Rattus norvegicus: one gene and its partners. The protein of the gene in region 5 interacts with the protein of the main gene of each other region in a pairwise test. Links are inferred from orthologs where the notes say so. Each region holds a gene or a part of one and is shown on either strand. Other genes may lie near its edges.

Evidence for each region.
Region 1: the proteins of Mkrn3 (region 5) and Fam110a interact in binary tests that used the Homo sapiens proteins (3 or more experiments, as listed by UniProt). The two-hybrid records come from large-scale screens. The link is inferred for Rattus norvegicus from reciprocal best matches to the Homo sapiens genes MKRN3 and FAM110A.
Region 2: the proteins of Mkrn3 (region 5) and Ube2k interact in binary tests that used the Homo sapiens proteins (3 or more experiments, as listed by UniProt). The link is inferred for Rattus norvegicus from reciprocal best matches to the Homo sapiens genes MKRN3 and UBE2K.
Region 3: the proteins of Mkrn3 (region 5) and Psma1 interact in binary tests that used the Homo sapiens proteins (3 or more experiments, as listed by UniProt). The two-hybrid records come from large-scale screens. The link is inferred for Rattus norvegicus from reciprocal best matches to the Homo sapiens genes MKRN3 and PSMA1.
Region 4: the proteins of Mkrn3 (region 5) and Enkd1 interact in binary tests that used the Homo sapiens proteins (3 or more experiments, as listed by UniProt). The two-hybrid records come from large-scale screens. The link is inferred for Rattus norvegicus from reciprocal best matches to the Homo sapiens genes MKRN3 and ENKD1.

The regions. Positions count from the first base shown.
Region 1 is NC_086021.1:160,935,399-160,938,910, forward strand, and holds part of Fam110a (protein FAM110A), read right to left. Parts: intron 3,458-3,512; exon of another isoform or gene 3,324-3,457; intron 2,569-3,323; exon of another isoform or gene 2,397-2,568; intron 2,310-2,396; exon of another isoform or gene 2,011-2,309; coding exon of another isoform or gene 1,997-2,010; intron 948-1,996; coding exon of another isoform or gene 872-947; coding exon 1-871.
Region 2 is NC_086032.1:43,016,712-43,020,223, forward strand, and holds part of Ube2k (ubiquitin-conjugating enzyme E2 K), read right to left. Parts: intron 2,025-3,512; coding exon 1,925-2,024; intron 1-1,924. UniProt on the Homo sapiens protein: Accepts ubiquitin from the E1 complex and catalyzes its covalent attachment to other proteins. In vitro, in the presence or in the absence of BRCA1-BARD1 E3 ubiquitin-protein ligase complex, catalyzes the synthesis of 'Lys-48'-linked polyubiquitin chains.
Region 3 is NC_086019.1:177,885,056-177,889,283, forward strand, and holds the start of Psma1 (proteasome subunit alpha type-1), read right to left. Parts: upstream 2,803-4,228; 5' UTR 2,715-2,802; coding exon 2,712-2,714; exon of another isoform or gene 2,232-2,711; intron 1,259-2,231; coding exon 1,214-1,258; intron 928-1,213; coding exon 826-927; intron 718-825; coding exon 614-717; intron 1-613. UniProt on the Homo sapiens protein: Component of the 20S core proteasome complex involved in the proteolytic degradation of most intracellular proteins. This complex plays numerous essential roles within the cell by associating with different regulatory particles.
Region 4 is NC_086037.1:50,503,612-50,507,711, reverse strand, and holds the start of Enkd1 (enkurin domain-containing protein 1), read left to right. Parts: upstream 1-1,295; 5' UTR 1,296-1,585; coding exon 1,586-1,670; intron 1,671-1,750; coding exon 1,751-1,945; intron 1,946-2,821; coding exon 2,822-2,994; intron 2,995-4,100. Other genes in the region: C19h16orf86 (uncharacterized protein C16orf86 homolog), read right to left, coding at 1-192, 526-743, 982-1,065. UniProt on the Homo sapiens protein: Microtubule-binding protein which regulates microtubule organization and stability. Promotes the stability of astral microtubules and facilitates the proper orientation of the mitotic spindle.
Region 5 is NC_086019.1:125,338,372-125,342,518, forward strand, and holds Mkrn3 (probable E3 ubiquitin-protein ligase makorin-3), read right to left. Parts: upstream 2,808-4,147; 5' UTR 2,696-2,807; coding exon 1,109-2,695; 3' UTR 293-1,108; downstream 1-292. UniProt on the Homo sapiens protein: E3 ubiquitin ligase catalyzing the covalent attachment of ubiquitin moieties onto substrate proteins.

The DNA of each region.
Region 1 (3,512 bases), on a different chromosome or scaffold from region 5:
GGTCGCGTGCCTGCCGCAACCCATACAGCCACTTGATCACACGGGCATTTCGCTCGATCACAGACACCCCATAGGGGACCCGCTCTAGGGTCCGCTCTTCCACTGTAGCAGAGCTGCGGCGTGAGCAGCCCCCTTCAGAGCTGCAAGGTCCAGCACTTGGCCCGGCTAGCGACACGATGTCCGAGCTAGCCCTTGCCAGGTGGGCCACCCCCAATCCTCGTGCTTCCTCTGGGTCCAAGCCGCAGAAGTTAAAAAAGCGCTCAAGATCGGCTGCTGCCCTGGAAAAGCGCTCACTCAGGTCCGACTTGGAGCGTTGCAGACCAGGGGGCCGGCCCGGGCTGGAAGTGGTAGCGGCGCCAGGTGATGGATAGGGGCGAGCTGGTGAAGCAGGCAGGGGACGAACATCCACTCGGCGCACAGCGACAGTACTAGGAGGCGGACGAGGAGGGGTGGCTGGTGGGACCTTGTGGGCAGATCCTTCTGGCCGTCCAGGTGTTCGGTTGGCCTCAGATGGGGACACGGGACTATCACACAGGTTGATTAGGCTGCTAAGGATGTCTAGGTCCAGTTGGGGCCGGCGACCAGAACAGGGCAGGACTCGGCGACTGGGTGTGAGCACTGGGCCGCGAGAACCTGGGCTGAAGAGGGGCTGCCTGGCGAGCGGGGGCTGCACAGGTTCTTGGCGGGTGTTGGCCACGCGCAGGCTCTTGACGTACTTAGCCTTATCAGCCTCCAGGCGTTCCACAGCACTCGGTTTCCTGGCTCCCCCATCTGCTGGCCTTGGTAGCAGGTAGCCGGGGACCTTGGTTCGCAGGCGAAAAGGTAAAGCGGGAGTGGTGGGGGCTCCCGGGCTCAGCGTGTCCACGGGCATGGCCGTTACATACCCCGAGGGCAGAGGCGAGAAGACAGATACAGGCACAAAGTTGGCAGCTGGATACGGGGCTCCGCTGCAAGCAACGAAAGAAGACAGGCTGAGCACGTTCAGACAAAGGCTCACTGGCGGCGAAGCCTGAGCTATTATAAGGTAAAGGACACGCCCCTGCCTCTCACAGAGCCAATCACCAGGCAAAATGTACTCCGGGAAGGCCTATGGCCCCACCCACGGCATTTCCCTCCAATAGTGGGCGGGACCCGCACAGCTGAGGGAGAGAAAAGTGGTAGAGAAGCCAGGTCCACTTTAAAAAGGGTCCTCTCGGTTGGGGATTTAGCTCAGTGGTAGAGCGCTTGCCTAGGAAGTGCAAGGCCCTGGGTTCGGTCCCCAGCTCCGAAAAAAAGAAAAGAAAAAAAAGGGGGTCCTCTCAATGGCTCCATTTAGGGGTTGGGAAACTGAAGCTCGAGGGGCAATGGGTTTGCTTAAGCCACCCCTTACTTCCAAGAGAGGGGGCTACTAGCGACCGGGCAGTTGGGGTTGAATGACCATCATCCACATCCCACCTGAACTGCACAGAGATCCAGATACCACCAACATCCCGCAACTAGCCCAGGCAGGAAGCTGCGCAGTGCCAACCACCTGCCTGGACATGCCAGGCCCACAAGGGGCACAAAAACAAAAGGCTGTGAGAGAGAGAGGCAGAAAGGCCCCACCCCCACCCCGTAGAGTCCAGATTAGGGTAGTTTCCAAGATATGGCTTCAAGGCCAAGCCCATGGAGATCCAGGCATGTGGACAGGCATAAACATCAGCCCCAAGCTATGCCGGTGCAAAGACCTATCCAGGTCACAGCCCCACCAAGTGTTATGCTGCTGACCAACCACCATGACAGTGCTCATGGGCTGCAGGGCCCATGTCTGGGTGCTCAAGTGTCCCCATGGTTATCTAAGAGTCAGATGTTAGACCATTACAGCAAGTCAACCCTGCCATCTCTGTTTCCAAGGAAAGAGGGTCAGAAAGTGCCAGTTTCCCCATACCCAAGGCCCCTCAAATATGCACAAGGTAAAACCCATATTCCAAACCAAGGGCATCTGCAGTTGAGATCACTCAGCAGCCACTAGCCATACCTCAAGTTCTCCATGGTCACATGGGACGTGGTACTATACCAGACAGACTGGGCCAGAGCATGCCCAAACACAGAAGAGCCTCACCGGAACAGCCAGACATCTCAAGACAACGCTCTCCACTGTGTGCCTGTGTGCCAGACGCTCACAGCTACTTTCCTACCACCTCCAAGAGCCTGAAAGCCACTGTTACCATTTTGTAGCTGGGAAAACTGAGACTCTGGGAAGTGACTTCCTTAGGTCACAGAGATTTAAAAAGCAGACTCCCATGAAGCCTAGCTTGAACACACTAATTCCTACCACATCACTTCTCCACGTACCACACAGACAGACAGACAGACAGACACACACACACACACCCTATATCTCGTCTCACTATATCCATTGGTACCATATAACTTACTGTGGATATGAATCTTTCTTTCTTTGCTGTCCCCAACTCCAAAAATGTCAGCTCCACGAGGGCACAGGTTTTGGCTGCTTTGTTCACTGAGTCTCAGCTTCATGATGTGGCTCTCAACACATGCTAGATATTCCACAAGTGTGTCCTGAACTAAAATGCTCACGGGAGTCAGCTGAGGACCAGCACACCAGTCAACTAGAGTGGCCCCGCCCACCACAGGCGGATAGGTCCAGGGTGAGGGGTGGAGTGTCACTAGCACCAGCAAACCAAGACTAGCTTTCTCTAGGTTTTTAACTGTGAGCAAATTCCATCACCATTTTAAAACGACAAGTAGTACAGGGCAAGCATAGTATGTCTACAGATCTATCTGCTCTCCCCAGCCCCCACGGAAGTTTTGGGGGATAGGAGGAAGGCTTCTCCCAAGGCTTAAGAGGTTGTTGGGCAGAAAAAGAAGGCTGGCCCACACAAACAGACCCTCAACTGACCTTAAGTGGTTTAGGTCTAGCCAGCAGAACTGTTAAGAGTCCTGTTCAGGTAGCCAGATCCTGCCTCACCTCCCTAGCCCCCACATCTGCTCTGCCACCCAAACCAGTCCAACCCGTTGGTGGTGGCTGAGGCAGTTCCCTCCCCGACATCACCTGGGAAAGAGGAAGGAGGTCAGAGGGGCAGGGCTAGGGCAGAAGCTCCCCCCACCAGCACCTTGCTTTTATACCCACCACCTAACACTACAAAGAAATGGGGGGGAGGCAGATTGTGTTCCCAAGCCTGGTCTGGTAGACACCAGGGTCCCCGTTCTCCCACCAGCCTTGCACCTCGCACAAGAGGCAGCTCTTAAAAGACTGTTCCTCTACCTATTAAACCCAGTTAAAAATAGACCTCCCTGTGCCTTCGGGTCACCGCTGGAAAGATCAAACGGGTTCGCAGCACCTGAAAAATGGGCAGCGCTCCCGAAACCAGACGCACTGTCATAAACTGAGGCTCTGACTGTGGAGTTGGCAGACTCCGCCCCCTCCGAGGGTCTCTAAGTCCGATCCTGGAGGGCAGGACCTAAGCCCAGCAGGGACAAAGGAGACAGCTGGTAAGAGCTAATCACAATGAGCCAGCCGATCCGCACCA
Region 2 (3,512 bases), on a different chromosome or scaffold from region 5:
GGCAGAACTCAAGTTCTGACAGACAGCTAGATGCATAGAGCTGTACTGTACAGAATTCAAAGTAAACAGAACACTCAAAGGTCTAACTTACATTACTTTTGAAGACAATTTAAAAACTCACAAAAGAGCCCTTCGAGAAAAGATTTCACACATGAAACTGAAAAAGGTAAGGTAAATTCATTTTAATATTTCTTATCAAAGTACCATTTTTAAATTTGTTTTACATTGTTTGTGTAGATGAACACATGTTGAAATGCCAGGAAGGCCAAGAAGAGGACAGTAATAGCTACCCGCTGTGGGGGCTGAGACCTGAGCCATCCAGCTCTCTAGCACGAGCAGAGGCTGAGTAAATCCACTGTACCTCTCCCCTGACATTGCTTTCTCTCTATACAACAGTTCACAATTTGTAGCACTGTCTAGCATAGAACATGCTATCTCTACTTAGTCCAGACTTGCCTCAAATTTAGAGATCTGCCAACTTCTAACTATAGAGTGCTAAGATTGAGGGCTTCTGACTCATAGCCAGCTCTTAGCAAACCAAAAGGCTAATCTATCTTAAAGTAAGACAATGTACCTAATGTATTTCAAGCAATACTTTTTAACAAACAACACAAGCATTATTTTAGGTATTAAAAGTCAGCTATGGAAGACAAGAGATGGCTCAGTGGTTGAAGGAACTGGCTGGACTCGAGAGGACCAGGGTTCAATTCCCAGCACCACATGGAAGTCCACATCTGCCTGTGCCTCTAGGATCCAATACCCCCAGACACATACATTCAGGCAATGCGCATAACATAAATAATTTTTTCAAAAGTGATCTTTTATTTTATATCTCAATTTAATCTCAATATGCAGGAAAATCAGAGCTAAACTTCAGGAAAGATTGCTACCAAATATTAAGGAATAGAGGCGGTAGTTGCAAGCAGTTTAGTCTAGCAGTGGAACTGAGGGAGCATGATCAAAAAGAATAAGCAGATAGATACTTAAAGCCATAAGGAAGGCCTGGACAGACGGCTCAGAACACTTGCTGTTATTCAGAAGACCAGAAATCAATTCCCAACACCAACATTTGTGGTCTAGTTTCAACTCAAGGGTATCCAGAACCTTCCTGATACATCTACAGGTACTCCCAGCACTTAAACATACCCGGAGACACAGGAACAGAATTTTAAAAATAAGTCTTTTTTTTCACCCCCTTAAACAGCCATGAGGACAAAGAAATTTGAGCTGAAACAACAGCTCAGCAGCCAAGGACACGAGTACAGGACGGAACAGTTGTCCTTTGACCTGTAGCCACGTGCTGTGAGCACACATTAACAAAGCACGTTTTTAAAAAATTATTCTTATTTCATGTGCATTCATGTTTTGCCTGCATATATGTCTATGTGAAGGTGCCGTGTCCCCTGAAACTAGCGATACAGGCTGTTATGAGCTGCCACGTGGGTGCTGTGACTTGAACCTGGGTCCTTTGGAAGAGCAGTCGGTGCTCTTAAGTGCTGAGCTATTTCTCCAGCCAAACTAAAAAACATTTTAAAGGGACATTTTTACAATGTCAAAGGCTGGCTGATGTTTCCTTAAAGAGGAAGCGAGGAAAGCAACACAATGACATAAGAACAATCGCAAAGACTCATGAACGCCAAGAACAGCACGTAGAGTCAAGTGTTCACGAAGAGCTTGAATCATGAAAAACTTCTGCAATGCAGAGATCTGGACATCAGTGAAAAGTGGGGTTCCTAACCGGTATTTGTTTATTCTTTGTTTATTGTTATTTGTTTATTATATGACATGATTTTATTATACGTGACAAAATTATTCCATTAAAAGAATCTACTTCCAAATTTAGTCCCAACAGAGAATTCTCACATGCTGACATCAAACGTCAGCGCTGCACACAGAGCTCTAAGAGCCTTTCAGCTGCTCTTACCTGATTTGCTACTACTGCATCTTGGGGGTCATCTGGTTCTGCAGCGGCCAGCAGTGCTTGCAATGACAATAATACTGTGCGCAGAGTCATTGCTGCTGCCCTAAATTTCAAATTTGAAAAATATTCCAGTTAAAAAGACTTTGAATGACATAAATGGCATCTGTTTTCTGAACTGAAACAAAATATACTAGAACTAAAAATTGTAGTTTGTATAACTGCCAAATTTTTATTTTTACAAGCCAATTTCTAAGAATTCAAGTCACCTCATCCTGACCTGACCTTGCTTTTTCTCTGCTTGTTTTATTTACCTACCCTGTAAGCTTTATCTACTGATGTCAGTCTTCATTTTTTTCTTAGATTTTGTCTGCAGGTATGTATGGACCCATATTTGGTGCTCACGGAGGTGAGAACTAGGTAGACATGTTTCTGAGTCACTCTATGGATGCTGAGACCCAAAGCCTGGTCCTCTATGAGAACCACTAAGTGAGCCCTCTCAATCCCTTACCCATATTTCACAGTGAAGTGACATAAATCTAAGTTACTAATACTGAACATGGACTTTCTATACTTTTAATTATGTCTGTGTATGTGACTATGAGTAACAGGTGCATAGAGGACAGAGGCTGATCTTCTCCTGATGGAGTTACACAGTTGTAAGCCACCCACCATGGGTACCAGGAATTCATCTTGGACCACTGAAGAACAAGCAGTGCATGCCCTTAACCAGTTTTATGCTAAATAATGATAATGATAAATAATGATAAATTGCCTTCCAAGAATTCTGTTCAATCCATAATATTCCAAACTAGAACAAATCTTTATTTAAAACATTATACTTGAGGTTGGAGAGATGGCTCAGAATTAATCTGTGTGTATAGTTCTTGCAAAGGTCCCAGCACCATGCTGGCAGCTAGCAAATAACCTGAAACTGCAGCTCCAGGGGACCTGATGCTCTCTGGCCTCTGTAGGCTCCCACATGGACCTCATATACCCACAACAAAGCACAAACATCATGAGAAATAAAAATGAATCTTATAATTTTAGTCATGGTCCTGAATATATTTACAACAAAAACCTTGGTCTTTATGAAACAATTATTTATTTAAAATTTGCTTCACTAATACTGAAATATTTACAATGCTAACAGGGCAGTGATGGCATGAGACATTTGGGAGGCAGAGGAAAGTGGATCTCTGTGAATTCAAAGCCAGCCTGGTCTCCAGAGCTAGCTCCAGACAGCCAGGGCTACACAAAGAAACCCTACCTCAAAAAAGTAAAATAGGGCTGGAGAGATGGCTCAGAGGTTAAGAGCACCCAACTGCTCTTCCAGAGGTCATGAGTTCAATTCCCAGCAACCACATGGTGGCTCACAACCATCTGTAAAGAGGTCTGATGCCCTCTTCTGGTGTCTGAAGACAGCTACAGTGTACTCGTATATAATAAATGGATAAATCTTAAAAAAAAAAAAAAAAAAGTAAAATAAGGGTGAATAGCACGCTAACACACATTGAAGAATCCAGTAGCAACCTCTAGTTGAGGTGCTGGACCGTCACACAAAGGCTGTGGGAAAGCAAGCACACTACTTTTC
Region 3 (4,228 bases), about 53 Mb from region 5:
TCCTGAGTTCAACCAGCAACCACATGGTGGCTCACAACCACCTGTAATGAACCGATGCCCTCTTCTGGTATGTTTGAGGACAGTGAAGCTGTATTCATATGCATAAAATAAATAAAATCTTAAAAAAAAAAAAAGGAAATATGGGGTTGGGGATTTAGCTCAGTGGTAGAGCGCTTGCCTAGGAAGCGCAAGGCCCTGGGTCCTGGGTTCTGTCCCCAGCTCCGAAAAAAAAAAAAAAAAAGGAAATAGAAATACTTAGTTACACACCCAAGCCCACTAAGGTATTTACAATATTACAAATTTTAATATTCTGGGGGCTAGAGAGATAGCTTAACTGTCTCAGAGGTTCCTGAGGTCCCAGGTTCAATTCCAGTATCCACATGGAAGCTCATAATCTTCTGTTACCCCAATACCAGGGGAGTCTAAGGTCTGAAGAAACCAGACACACACTAGTGCAGACATACATACATGAAGATAAAACACCCACACAAATAAACAATTAAAAAGTATAATATTCTGGGAGATGACTTCCTATATCTTATCTAGGTATTTTTTAATAAAATAGTCTATTAAAAACGAAAAGCGATGCTTAATTTTTCATAATCATACATACCATAACAGTCTGGCATCAGCAGTTAGACCCGCAATTGAGATACCAATATGGTTGTCAACGTGGAGAATTTTCTTCTGGTGAGCGGCAAGCTCTGACTGTGCTCTCTAAATAGACACAGCATTTTAGTTTGGAGGTTGATTATTTATCAGTGAAATTTACATTTGATAGCTCTGGCTCCTGAGGGAGGAAGATAGGGTCATCATGTCACTCACCTTCAGCGCGACCAGCACTGCATGTGTCTTCGACTTCAGGCCGACTGTCGCTGAGCCTTGCTTTACAGCTTCCATTGCATATTCGATTTGATGAATCCTGCCCTAAAGACAAAATAATATTTTTCACTTTTTGAAACCAATAAACTAATTTTAATTCTAACTTTAAGCTTGTAGCCCATAAGCTCACAAGCTTTGTTTCCTTTTTTAAAATAGGGTTCCACTAAGTTGCTCAAACTGCCCACCAACTCCATGATCCTATGGCTCTGGCCTCCTGACCAATTAAAAGATTACAATGTGAACCTCCAAGCCCAGTTTATGATCTCACAGGTTTCTGACCCTACTCCAGCCATGAAAAGTCACTTCATTAATAGGTCATAAAACATTTTACCTGAGGGCTCCAAACAGTGACATCGTTGTCATACTGGTTGCGAAACTGAAAGTGGAAGAAAGATTAATATGAGAACATTACAATTTTCAAATTTTAACAATAAGACATGTGTTTCAATTGTTGAAGCCTCTCTGCTAGTGCAGCTTTCCTGAGACACTATTAGAGTGCTCAGTTTGCAATGCAATTCTACCTTAATCATGTACAGGCTGTCGGGATGAATGGACTAGGGTCTTCCTACCTTCATATTCTGCCATTCTCCATAGCACTTCCCTCGGGCAGTCAAGTGCTAAAGAATGCACACTTTGCTCATACTACTCTCTTACACAGGGCTCTAATAATTTGGCAAAGGGCTTTTCTTTAAGTCGACTTAAATGTCTATCTCTTGAAGGTTTCTTCTTTTTTCCGAAAATTCTCAGCACAATTTTCCAGCAGAGCTAAAGTCTCATGCAGCCCAGTTTGGCCTTCATTTGCTATATACCTGGGAGAATGATCCTGAAGTCCTGCTTCAGCCTCCCAAGTGCTCAGATCACAGGTGTCTGCCATCATGCTCAACTATATATATTTTTCCCCCTTCTCTCTCTTTCCGACTCGGATTCTACACTCTGGCTGTCCTGGAACTCACTGTGAGTTAGGCTAGCCTCAAACTCACGAATTCTACCTGTCTCTGCCTCCTGAGTGCTGGGATTAAACTCAAGCACCACAACACCCGGTCTTTTACATACCTTTTTATCTTTATAGTATGATTAAAGTTACGTTTGGCTTAGCTTTGAGCTTTCTTCCTGTACTTTACCACTGGATGAACAAACACACGAATTCTCAGTAAAAAGGTGGCCACAAATAGCTACCGTGGCAGAACCACTATAGCTATAATGTCATTACTAAAGCAAGTTTGTCGGCCCTTGGGAGTATAATATTCATGAGGGTAAAAAGACCAAGAGTTTGCATGGCAGACTCGACAGAAGCAGCCCAGGGCCCTACGTTGTAAACCTGATTCTATCACTTTCTCTTTCATCTCTAGGTAACAAAACAAAATGATTGTATGGAGCCTTTCCCTACGGCACTCTAATGAGACGGATAAAGCCAAATACACCCACAAGGAAGATGAACTTGGTCTGAAGACCTGACTGCAGGCTCTGGTCTGCACTGACGATGCCAGATGCACCCTTTCACCCCTATAGTCTCTCTCCTATGCAGATCACGAAGGACCATACAGCATCTTGGAATAGGCCACTTAAGTAAATTGGGAGGGAAGGACGACTGGCTGGCCGAGAAAGAAGCGCCTGGACCCCATGCAAAGTGGAGAAGCTGCGCGATAGGCCGCCTAGGTTACTGATCGCTTCCCGCCGGCCAGGCCGCAGATGCTGAATCACTGCAGGAGCATGTCCGTGAGGTAAGCTCCCTCTCCCACCGCCCCGCGCCTCAGGGAACAGAGGCCGATCCCCGACCAGGTCAGCTGACCTCAGCCCCAAACCCTCCGAGGACTCGGGGCTCAACACACCATAGCTCCGGCGAGGTTACAACCAGACACAGCAGCGGACACAGGAACACGGCCTCAACTACGGTTCGGTGATCGTCAAAGAAGGCTGCGGAGTCTTCACGGCGCCGACGCAGGAAGTGCAGTCTATCCCAGAGCCACGGATCAGCGTTTAACGCTTCCCCGCCCTCCAGCTCTGGGTGGGCGGGGCCTGCGAAAGCAGATAAAATGGGATTGGTGGGAAACCCGGGAATGCCTGTGCGCAGAGAGGGTTGGGGGCGTGGTTCCATGTCAAGCGCTGTGTTTCCGTGTTTCCCCCCTCCCCCCCCAGTGGATTGCAGATTCCCGCCAACTCTCGGTCCACTCCACTGAACATCGCCCCCAGCTAGGGATGGTGTGGCGGACCCGCATAGATTTCATCACAGTGCCCAGAGGTTTGGGAAGCAGCACGACTGAAAGAGGTTGCAGAAAAAGCCACAGAACCATTCATTCTCTCTCTCTCTCTCTCTCTCTCTCTCTCTCTCTCTCTCTCTCTCTCTCTCTCTCTCCCTCTCCCCCTGTCCCTCTTCCCACTCCCCAAACCCTCTCGTGTGTGTGTGTGTGTGTGTGTGTGTGTGTGTGTGTGTGTGTGTGTGTGTTCGTTCGTTTGTGGTCCTGGCCCCTGAATATCTTGAGTACTTGGCGAGCCCATCCTTAAAGGCTCCTTGGTGTCTCGTGGTCGTATTACTCATTTTGTGATCATTAGTTGCCATTGTAGGACCAGGTTTCTGTTCTGATATTTGATTTTCGCTGTCCACAACCAAATGCCATATATGATAGATTAGGCCACTAGGGGGAAGGTGCGAGTTTTCTTACGGATTTTTAAAGAGCATCTTTTGATTTATCCCCAAACGAAATCAAGACAGTTCTGTGCTCACTGATCTACCTAACATCTACAGACTGCCAGTTCTGTTGAAGAATAGAGTCAGGTCTTTAAGGATCTGAACTTCAAAGGAGGAGTAACACATCACTTAAATGTCTCTGTTCACAGTAATTAGTATCACATTCTAAATATCTTTATGTATGTGTATATATGTACATTTTTTGTTTTTACATATGTTTTTTGTGTGTTTGTGTCCCTGCATACACTTATGTGAAAGTCTGAAGACAATGTTGGTGATTATCTCCTTGCACTGTGTGGATTCTGGGATTGAACTTTAAATTGATAGATAGGGCTGTTTTGTTTGCCCAGCACCAGCACAGTGCCTAACACATATTAGGTAAATAATTTGTATTGCTGAATGAACAATGGATTTTGAATGAATGGGTAATTAAATGCTGATTTTAAAATAGTTGGGGAACCGACTGCAGAGTGCCATTTACAACCATCTGTAACTCTAGGGGATCTGGCTTCTTCTGGTTTCAGCGACACTTGTGCATACATGTTGTGCTTCTACATAGGTAAAACACTCATATACATAAAATAGTTTTTTTAAAGCACCCAAATTAGCACATCTACTTTTAGGATTTCTTTTTAAAAATGTTATAAAAATCTTCACAAT
Region 4 (4,100 bases), on a different chromosome or scaffold from region 5:
ACAGGAGCCCCTACACTCTTGCGTTTCTTGGCTTTTTTGTGCTGTTTAGATGACAGCGAGGATTCACTGTGGCTGCCTTCTGGCTCCTCCTTCTGTAGCAGCAGCCCTGGTGGCAGTTCGGCCTCTGCCCTAGGATGGGCATGGTAGCTTTGCCCTGGGAGGGCTGGGGTACTCAAGCCTGGGACAAGAGGCCTGAAAGAGGTAGGCTTCAGTCTTTGGTTCCTGTGTCTTGAACCTAGGGCTTACCCCTGCCTGTCCACCAAGCCACACTAGAGCTAGTTAACTGTCCATTTCTTAGTGAAGTTCCAAACCCAACAGGGGCCCAGCGTTCAATGGTAGCTAAGTCTCCTACAAGACTAAGAAGCCCCAAATCCACACCCCCGCCCCAACTGTTCTAGAGAAACAGGAGCTGGAGGTGAGGGCATTAGAAGAAAACAAGGTTCTTTGCCTTGAAGGAATTGGGATTTAGGAATCTCCAGGTCTAAGACCCACCTCCCCAGCCTTTCCCCTTGAAAGCCCTCTCACTTTCTCTTGGGCCCATGAGCTGGCCTCACGATGGATGATGTAGGCTTGGGTCCTCTCTCCTCTCCTGCTTCCACCCCTGGATTGAGCCCTTCCTCTCCCAGGTTTATTCCTTCCTCCTGGAGCTCTGGCTCTAAGCTGTGTCCTACTGGACACCTGTCTTCACCTGGAGTGCTGCAGGTCTCGTGTGCTGGCACCAGACACTCTTCTGTTCCTGGACACTAGAAGACATACATAGGTAACTGATAGCCCATGGTCAGGCAAAGCCCAAAGCTGCTGCAACTGGGGCATCTCTCTTGGTTTGGGGGCCTCTCCTAACTACATATTGGCCACAGAATAGGAAATCTTAGGTCCCTCTACCTGCAGGACTTGGCCTGGCAGTTAGAAGGTTGGGTCACCTAGAGTCCTGCTCTTCTGCCCTACCCCTCCTCCTCCTGAGCTTTGAAATGCCCAAGTCACCTCAGGGATCTCTGCAACCTGGGCTAACCCTACTGCTGCCCCATTCTGGGCTTCTGGCTGCCTCTTGGCCCCTGCTGAGGCCATGGCAGGAATCAATGCATCCCTCGACGGTTGCTCAGAGAAGACCGCAGGCCCAGAGCAGGGCTGGACCGGTGCTCAGTGTTGGTAGGGGAGACAGGTTGAGAGGTAAGGATCCTGTTGCGACCCGAGACTTAGACTCGCTCCTCATCTGGAACTACAAACCCCAGAAGGCATTTCGCCTTAGTCATTTGACCCCTGACCTCAGGAAGCCATTTGTTGCCAAGCAACAGCAACTCCTACCGACTTGCTACAGTTGGCGGTAAAACTGCTGCAGTGAGAGTCCACGCTGGGGCTTTGCAGGGGGAGGGGCCGCGAACCCCTCAGGGCCGTGTGCTAGTCGCGGGGCGGTGGTACGGGCTGAGCTTAGGAAACGAGCGGTAGTCGAGGGGTGGGGGTCAGTGATGGGGGGTACCACGGGGCTACAGAGCTCGGGTGGAGGGTGGAAACACCCGACAGGGATTAGAGGGGACATTTGCACAGCGCAACAGGTCCTGATGCACAGTTGCAGGGCTACGGTAGGATCATGTGCGAGGGCCCGTCCCGCATCTCTGGACCCATCCCCCCAGACCCTACTCTCTGCCCGGACTACTACCGGCGGCCGGCCTCGGGTGAGTTGCGGGGTGCCGCGGCGGGGCGAGTACCCCGCCCCACCTCTGAGCACGGCTTTCCACCGCGTCTTGCTCTTCAGCCCAAGGACGCCTGGAAGGAAACGCGTTGAAGCTGGACCTGCTGACTTCAGGTCGCGACCTGGACTCCAGCCCTCCTCGTGGCCCTCGCATCAGGCCTGGAGCCCGAGAGATCCTAGAGCGTGGCCAGCGAGGTGTGGGGGACGTGCTGCTGCAACTGGGGGGCATCTCCCTTGGTTCAGGGGTCTCTCCTAAGAGTAAGTCCTTGCAGACGGGGTATTGAGGCATTCATAGGTCAAAAGCAGAGATTAAAATAGGGTGCTTCTTAACCGCCTTGAACCCATTCAGTTAATGTGTTTTTCTGGGTCTTAATTTCTCTAGCCTAAAAGAAGGGCAAAATACTTCTTGCAGGATCAGAGTTCATCCTTCTGCAGAGAGCTCCAGCTTCAAGCTTTCACACCTTGATAGAACAGTTCCCTTAATGCCTACTTTGTGCCAAGCCCTATGGTTGTTAGGAAAACAAGGTTAAAAAGTATGGGAGTTGTCCCAGGGTAGGGTAACACCCAAGGGGGGCTTCCCCTTCACTGAAGAGAAGGGAAGGGGGTAATAGGGAGCCGGATATGACAGGGGCAGGACTGGGGTGGGGGTTACAATTGGGATATAATGTGAATTAAAAAATAAGGGGCTGGGGATTTAGCTCAGTGGTAGAGCGCTTACCTAGGAAGCACAAGGCCCTGGGTTCGGTCCCCAGCTCCGAAAAAAAAAAGAACCAAAAAAAAAAAATAATAAATAAATAAATAAATAAATAAATTTTGGGGAAAGAAGTAAGGGAGTCAATAAACAAGACAGGACATATGTATAATATACTCGGTGATATCATAAAATGTAGAAGGTAATCACAATTTCTGTGTAAGGGAATAAGCTGCTAATGTTGCTGTGTGTATGGCATTCAACTTCCATGTAGAGGTCTTGGTTGTATTTAAGAACTTTGTGTGTGATATTGGAGATTGAACCCAGGGCTTCTCATATACTGGACATCTCCCAGGGGTAGGGTGTGAATCTGTATGAGATCTAGTCTGAGTTGCACAGCCATTCGTAGGGCTGTTCCTAGCAACATTCCTCCCCTCCTCCAGGGAAGGATCCAAAAGACCATGAGAAGGAAAACTTGAGGCGGATCAAAGAGATTCAGAGGCGATTCCAAGACCAGGAACGCAGCCGGGAGCAGGCCCAGCCCAAGCCCCTGAAGGCACTGTGGCGCTCACCCAAGTATGACAGTGTAGAGTCTCGAGTCAAGGCCAGGATGAAGGTATCTGTCTCAGGCAGGCGGACATATCCATCTTGGCCAAGGCAGTTATATCTAATCTAACTTACGGGGTGTGTGTGCGTGCGTGTGTGTGTGTGTGTGTGGTGTGTTCACAAAGACTAAGACATCTGGTGGACCTTCTCTGAGGAACTGATGGCATCAGGGCAAGTGAGGATTAGGCTAGAGGAAGAAAAGGTTCCCCAGAGATGAAACCCCACAGGTAGGTAAAAGTTCTGGGCTCAGGGAGTAGGGGCAATGGGCATATAGATATAATTCTATTTGTAGGGGGAAAGCAGAAGGTTAGAACAGAAAGCCAGTTAAATACATATCTGAAAGAACTACCTAAGTTACTTATCAACATGTGATATTGGAGATTGGATCCTGGGGCACACGCACACTGGGTACTCATAAAATTATATCCTCAACCTTCCTACTAATTCATTCTCAGTTTCTCTGTCTCTATCTCTATGTTTCACGTAGCCCAGGCTGACCTCAAGTTCTTTGACTTTCTGATGCTCCTTTGTTCACCTACCAAGTGCTGGGATCAAAAGTGTGCGCTACCACGCTGCTTTCTCTCTTCTTTTTCTTTTAGTTAATTACTTTTTTGAGATTAAAAAAGACCAAAATTATGTGTCTGGGTGCCTGCATGTATGTCTGTGCACCACAGAGACCAGAAGAGGGTGTGGATCTCCCGGAACTGGAGTTACAGAGAGCTGTGAATTGCCACATGATACTGGGAATGGAAGCCACATTCCCGGGTAGAACATCCAGTGTCCTTAACTGTTGGGTGCTATCATACCCCACCACCACCACCACTTCCACTGCTACTTTGTTTCTAGACAGGGTCTCACTGTGTAGCCTAGTCTAACTTCAAACTCCTGTAGCCCAGGCTGGCCTTGAACTGGCATAATTCTCCTTCCTGTCTTAGCCTCCCAGATGTGGACAAAATGGGTTTGGACCACCACTCCCAGATGATTTCTCTCTGAGTTGGTAGCTTGCTGTTTAGCCTTAGGCTGTCCTTGAATTCTCTCTGTAACCTAGCCTGGCCCCAAACAGTTACTTCTGCGTCAGCCTCCTGAGTCCTGGGACTGTAGGCATGTACCACTATT
Region 5 (4,147 bases):
TCCATTCTTATACCCTGTCTGACGTCAATACTTATTACTATTTTTTTCATAGTCACATAACTTTTATTTTGAAAACCTTTCCTTAAAAGTTCTTTGCTTATAAAATATACAATAACCAGATATTTAAGATATTAAAAACAAAGAAATGTATGTTTGAGTTCAGGAATTGTCACTGTGAAGACAAATGAGATGGTGACTTCGTGTGAGGCACTGTTTCATTATAGAGAAGCTGTTAATGTTATCATAGAAATTTTCAAAGTCATGTTTTGTAAATCCATTAAAAAGAGTCAGATACACACATAGCAGTCATTTTTATTAGATGCTAATCACTGACATCAGTGCAAGGGCAGGTAATTATCCACACAATTCACATACAGCCCATACACTTGGACTTTAACATTAGGCTTTCAGCTCTACATTTATTTCATTACTTCAAACATATATTACGATGTATATTTGTTTCCAGTTTTTTCAAATACATCTTTGTATACATATACGCATATATATCATTCTTAAATATATATTTCCAAATATAAATAATTTCACATCAAGCCAAACAGGATAAAAACATGTAAACATATGCACCTCATTTTGGTCAAGTAAAACAGAACCACAAAATAACCACAAGTTAACAAGTGCACTTGAAAGAGAAGAAACAAACATGTAAACAAACACAGACAGCAGCTGCAAGGTCCTGTAAGGGTCCATTTTTTTTTTAAGGCTATATAGCAAAAAGCTCATAATTCAGTTAAAGACTTTTGTCACCTTGTCACATTTACTCTTAAGGGACTTCACAATGAGAAACTGTAAACACTAGACTAGAAGTGATTGAATCCTGTTGGAAAAAGACATCACAAGTCATCAGCTGACAGAAATATTAATTCCACCAAACAATACTTATAAGATTTCTTGTTATTTTGTAACACGGAGAAACATCACAATCCTAGCGAGAAGAAATGGGAAATAGAGGAGAAAACAGCAATACTGCATAAAGATTGCCTCAACAGCCTTTGAAAGCGATAGGGTTTTTGAGTCAGTCGATAAAGGGGAATAAGCAACAGCAGACAACAGAGCCTTAGCAGACCAGACCACATGCCACAGCGTGATACTACAGATTCAAATTGAAATATTCTTCCAGCTGGTACTGAAGCAAGAGCCACCGGTCATCAGAGATGGAAAAACTGCCTCGCAGGCAAAGCAACTTCTTAAGCAACTGATTGGCCAGGCGAAGCACGGAATGCTCCTTTTTACGGCTTTTAAACAGCACGCTTCCCTCTCGCAACTGCACAGGCTCCAAAACTTGATGCCAGTATGCGCTGGACGATCCACCACCATCTGGCCTCGGAGGCTGATCTCTCCAGCCCTCGGGGTATTCATGCTTGTAAAAACAGAATTCTCCAAATGGGCAGTGACCTAGGCCTCCAGCAAAATACCTGCAGGCTTTCTGGCTCATCCCCTCCTTATATTGCTGAACAAGTTTCTCCTTCTCCTCTTCCTCCTCCACCCAGAACTCACTAGGAATGACAAAGCCAGAGGAGACCCTGCACTGTGGGCAGGACTTACTGATCCTGTTCTCAAACTGTGTGGCACTTCTCCACCTGCGGATACACTTAAGACAGTAGGTGTGGTTGCAGCTGAAAAGGATGCCAAAGCGGCGGTCGCTGGGGTCGGCCTTCTCATAGACAACCTCCATGCAGATGCCACACACTTTGTCCATGCTGCGCTGCACAGCAAAAGAGAGTTCCATATCTCTCTCGTGTGCTTCAACGCAGGCCCTTCTATGAGCTTCCTGCTGAGCTGCATCCCAAGGGTGCAGGGCCTGTTGCCCGCACATGTCGCATATTTCTCCATGGGGGTATGCACACCTGTCCCCACGGAGGCATTGTCCCCGAGCAGCATAGCGGCAAAGCGGCAGCGGCATTCCCATGCCCATAGCCATATGCTCTCTCTCAATCTCCGGGCTCTGCAGAGGAGCCTCGGGACCATGCGGGGGGATCATGCGACCTCGATACGGCTGTCCAGGAACAAACTCAATTGCCCCCTCCCAGCCTTCTGCACCCGCTCCTCCCGCAGCACCTGCTGCAAGGCCTGCATTGTCAATCTCAGCTTCAGGGAAGCCCCTTTCAGCAGCTGAGCCAATGCCTGCATTGTCAATCTCAGCTTCCGAGAAGCCCCTTTCAGCAGCCGAGCCAATCAGAGGCAAGGAGCTTGAGGATGCAGTAGGGGGGGCTTCCGCCACTTCCTGAGTCGGGGGCTCCCAGTGAGTGGCCATCTTGGGTCCTCTGTCTGCAGAGGCCCGAGGCTGAGAATCTTGGCCCCCCCTAGCTTTCCGCCGCCCAGAAAGGTCGTGAGAGTAGCGACAGTTATCGCCCTCCTTGCACTGCCCATGCAGATAATACCTGCAGAGGATTTGCTTCGTCCAGCTGCCTGTGTTGCGCTCCGGACCAGACCTGGCCCCGCCCCCTTCGGCTGGAGCGGGTCTCAAACTCGCCGCGCGCCGGTTCGCAGGGACTGGAGCCATAAGAAACGGTGCCAGGCCCGATGCCTCTTGCAGAGGGGCTGAGCTGGCTACCGCAGAAGCTCCAGAAGCCTCAAACTGAGGAGGGGGGGGGGCAGACACACCCTCCCCCCCCTCAGCACCTGCCTCGGCGCCGGCGGCCTCGTAGGCTTCCATGGGAGCTGTAGACTCTTCCATCACGCAGCGTGCCTCTAACACTGTCCAAAAACCCGAATATTATGTCTTTTTTGTGCTTGAATTGCGGAGCTGAAGATGGTCCGATCAGCTTCTTCTCGGAGAGAAGTGCATCAATTTTTGTCTTCCCACCTGCTCCCTGTTCCCTGAGAACTTTGGTTCCTACCTGCTTACAGGCAGCCGGACACTTCCGGTTGTAACACCATTTTCCGGTGCTTCACCGGAAGTTGCTTCCGCCATGTTTTTCCCGTACCGGTAACCGCTTAAGATATTGGAATCGGCTTCTGCCGGCTCTCTTAGAGCGATTCTGAACTCCCCAACCCCCGTTTCCACACTGTTTTCCTTGAAGGTTGATGTTTTAATCTCTCCAGGTTTCGGTTGTATACATTGCATTTTATTTTCGTTTTCAGTTAAGAAAACGCTACAATCCTTGCCTTTGCCATCGGCTGCTATTGACATTTATAGAACATTTCACTCATAAACATTAAAAAATATTTTTCGGTTCAATCTGTCTTTTGTTTATAGGTGACTACTTTTTAAATCGAAAAGGGGCCCCCCCGCCGAAGCATTTCTCCTTTGACGCTTATAGATCTGACACAATTTCTTTGGGTCTTTTTTCCTTGAAGGGTTAATTTGCGTGCACTTTAATTAGAAGGGAATCCTCTGCCCTGAGGCTAGTCAGACAGAGCCTTTCACTTTCCTGCCTTTGTTATATATCCCCACCCACCCCACAACAAAGTAGAAGCCTAGACTTTGTCTAGCCCTGATGAAGACTTAATAAGCCAAGGTCTGAGAGTGACCCAGGCTTTTAACTTTTTTCTGTTGGTTGGATTCGGAGACCCTTTGTTCCCTGCCTTCCTTTTCATCCCATTCTGCTCTCCCGAGCTTTTCATAATACAAGCTCTTCTTTGTGCACCAAAGTGTCTCATTTCCATTTCCACATTGAGCCGCAGTTTTGTTTTGTTTTGTTTTTTCGTTTTGCAGATATATACTATTGGACTAATAATTTCATATATAGTTCTACAATGCTACATCTACTTACTATAGTGTCATACTAAATTTTATAGTGTAGTTATTTGTGGGTTTTTATTTTTAGTAATAACCATGTTGTCTTATAATATTTAATATACTACTTTTTTCCAAAACTAAAATTATGCTTGCTAAAATAATTTTATTACAGGCAGTCTTACAAACTAAGGTTAAAAAAACTCTGAATGCTTTTGATATAATCATCCAACTCAAAATATTAAAATATTATTCTCCACTAAATAAAGCCAACAACAATAAAACAAGCTAAGAGGAACATTATCAAAGAATATAGATAAAAGAGGTGAAATGAAGCAAAAGTAAATATGAAATAAGGAAATAGAATAAGCGAAATTTTTCTTGTATAACTTATCAAGAAACATAATAAAAGGCTCAGAACTCCAGCATCACATACGTCAAAAGAACTGA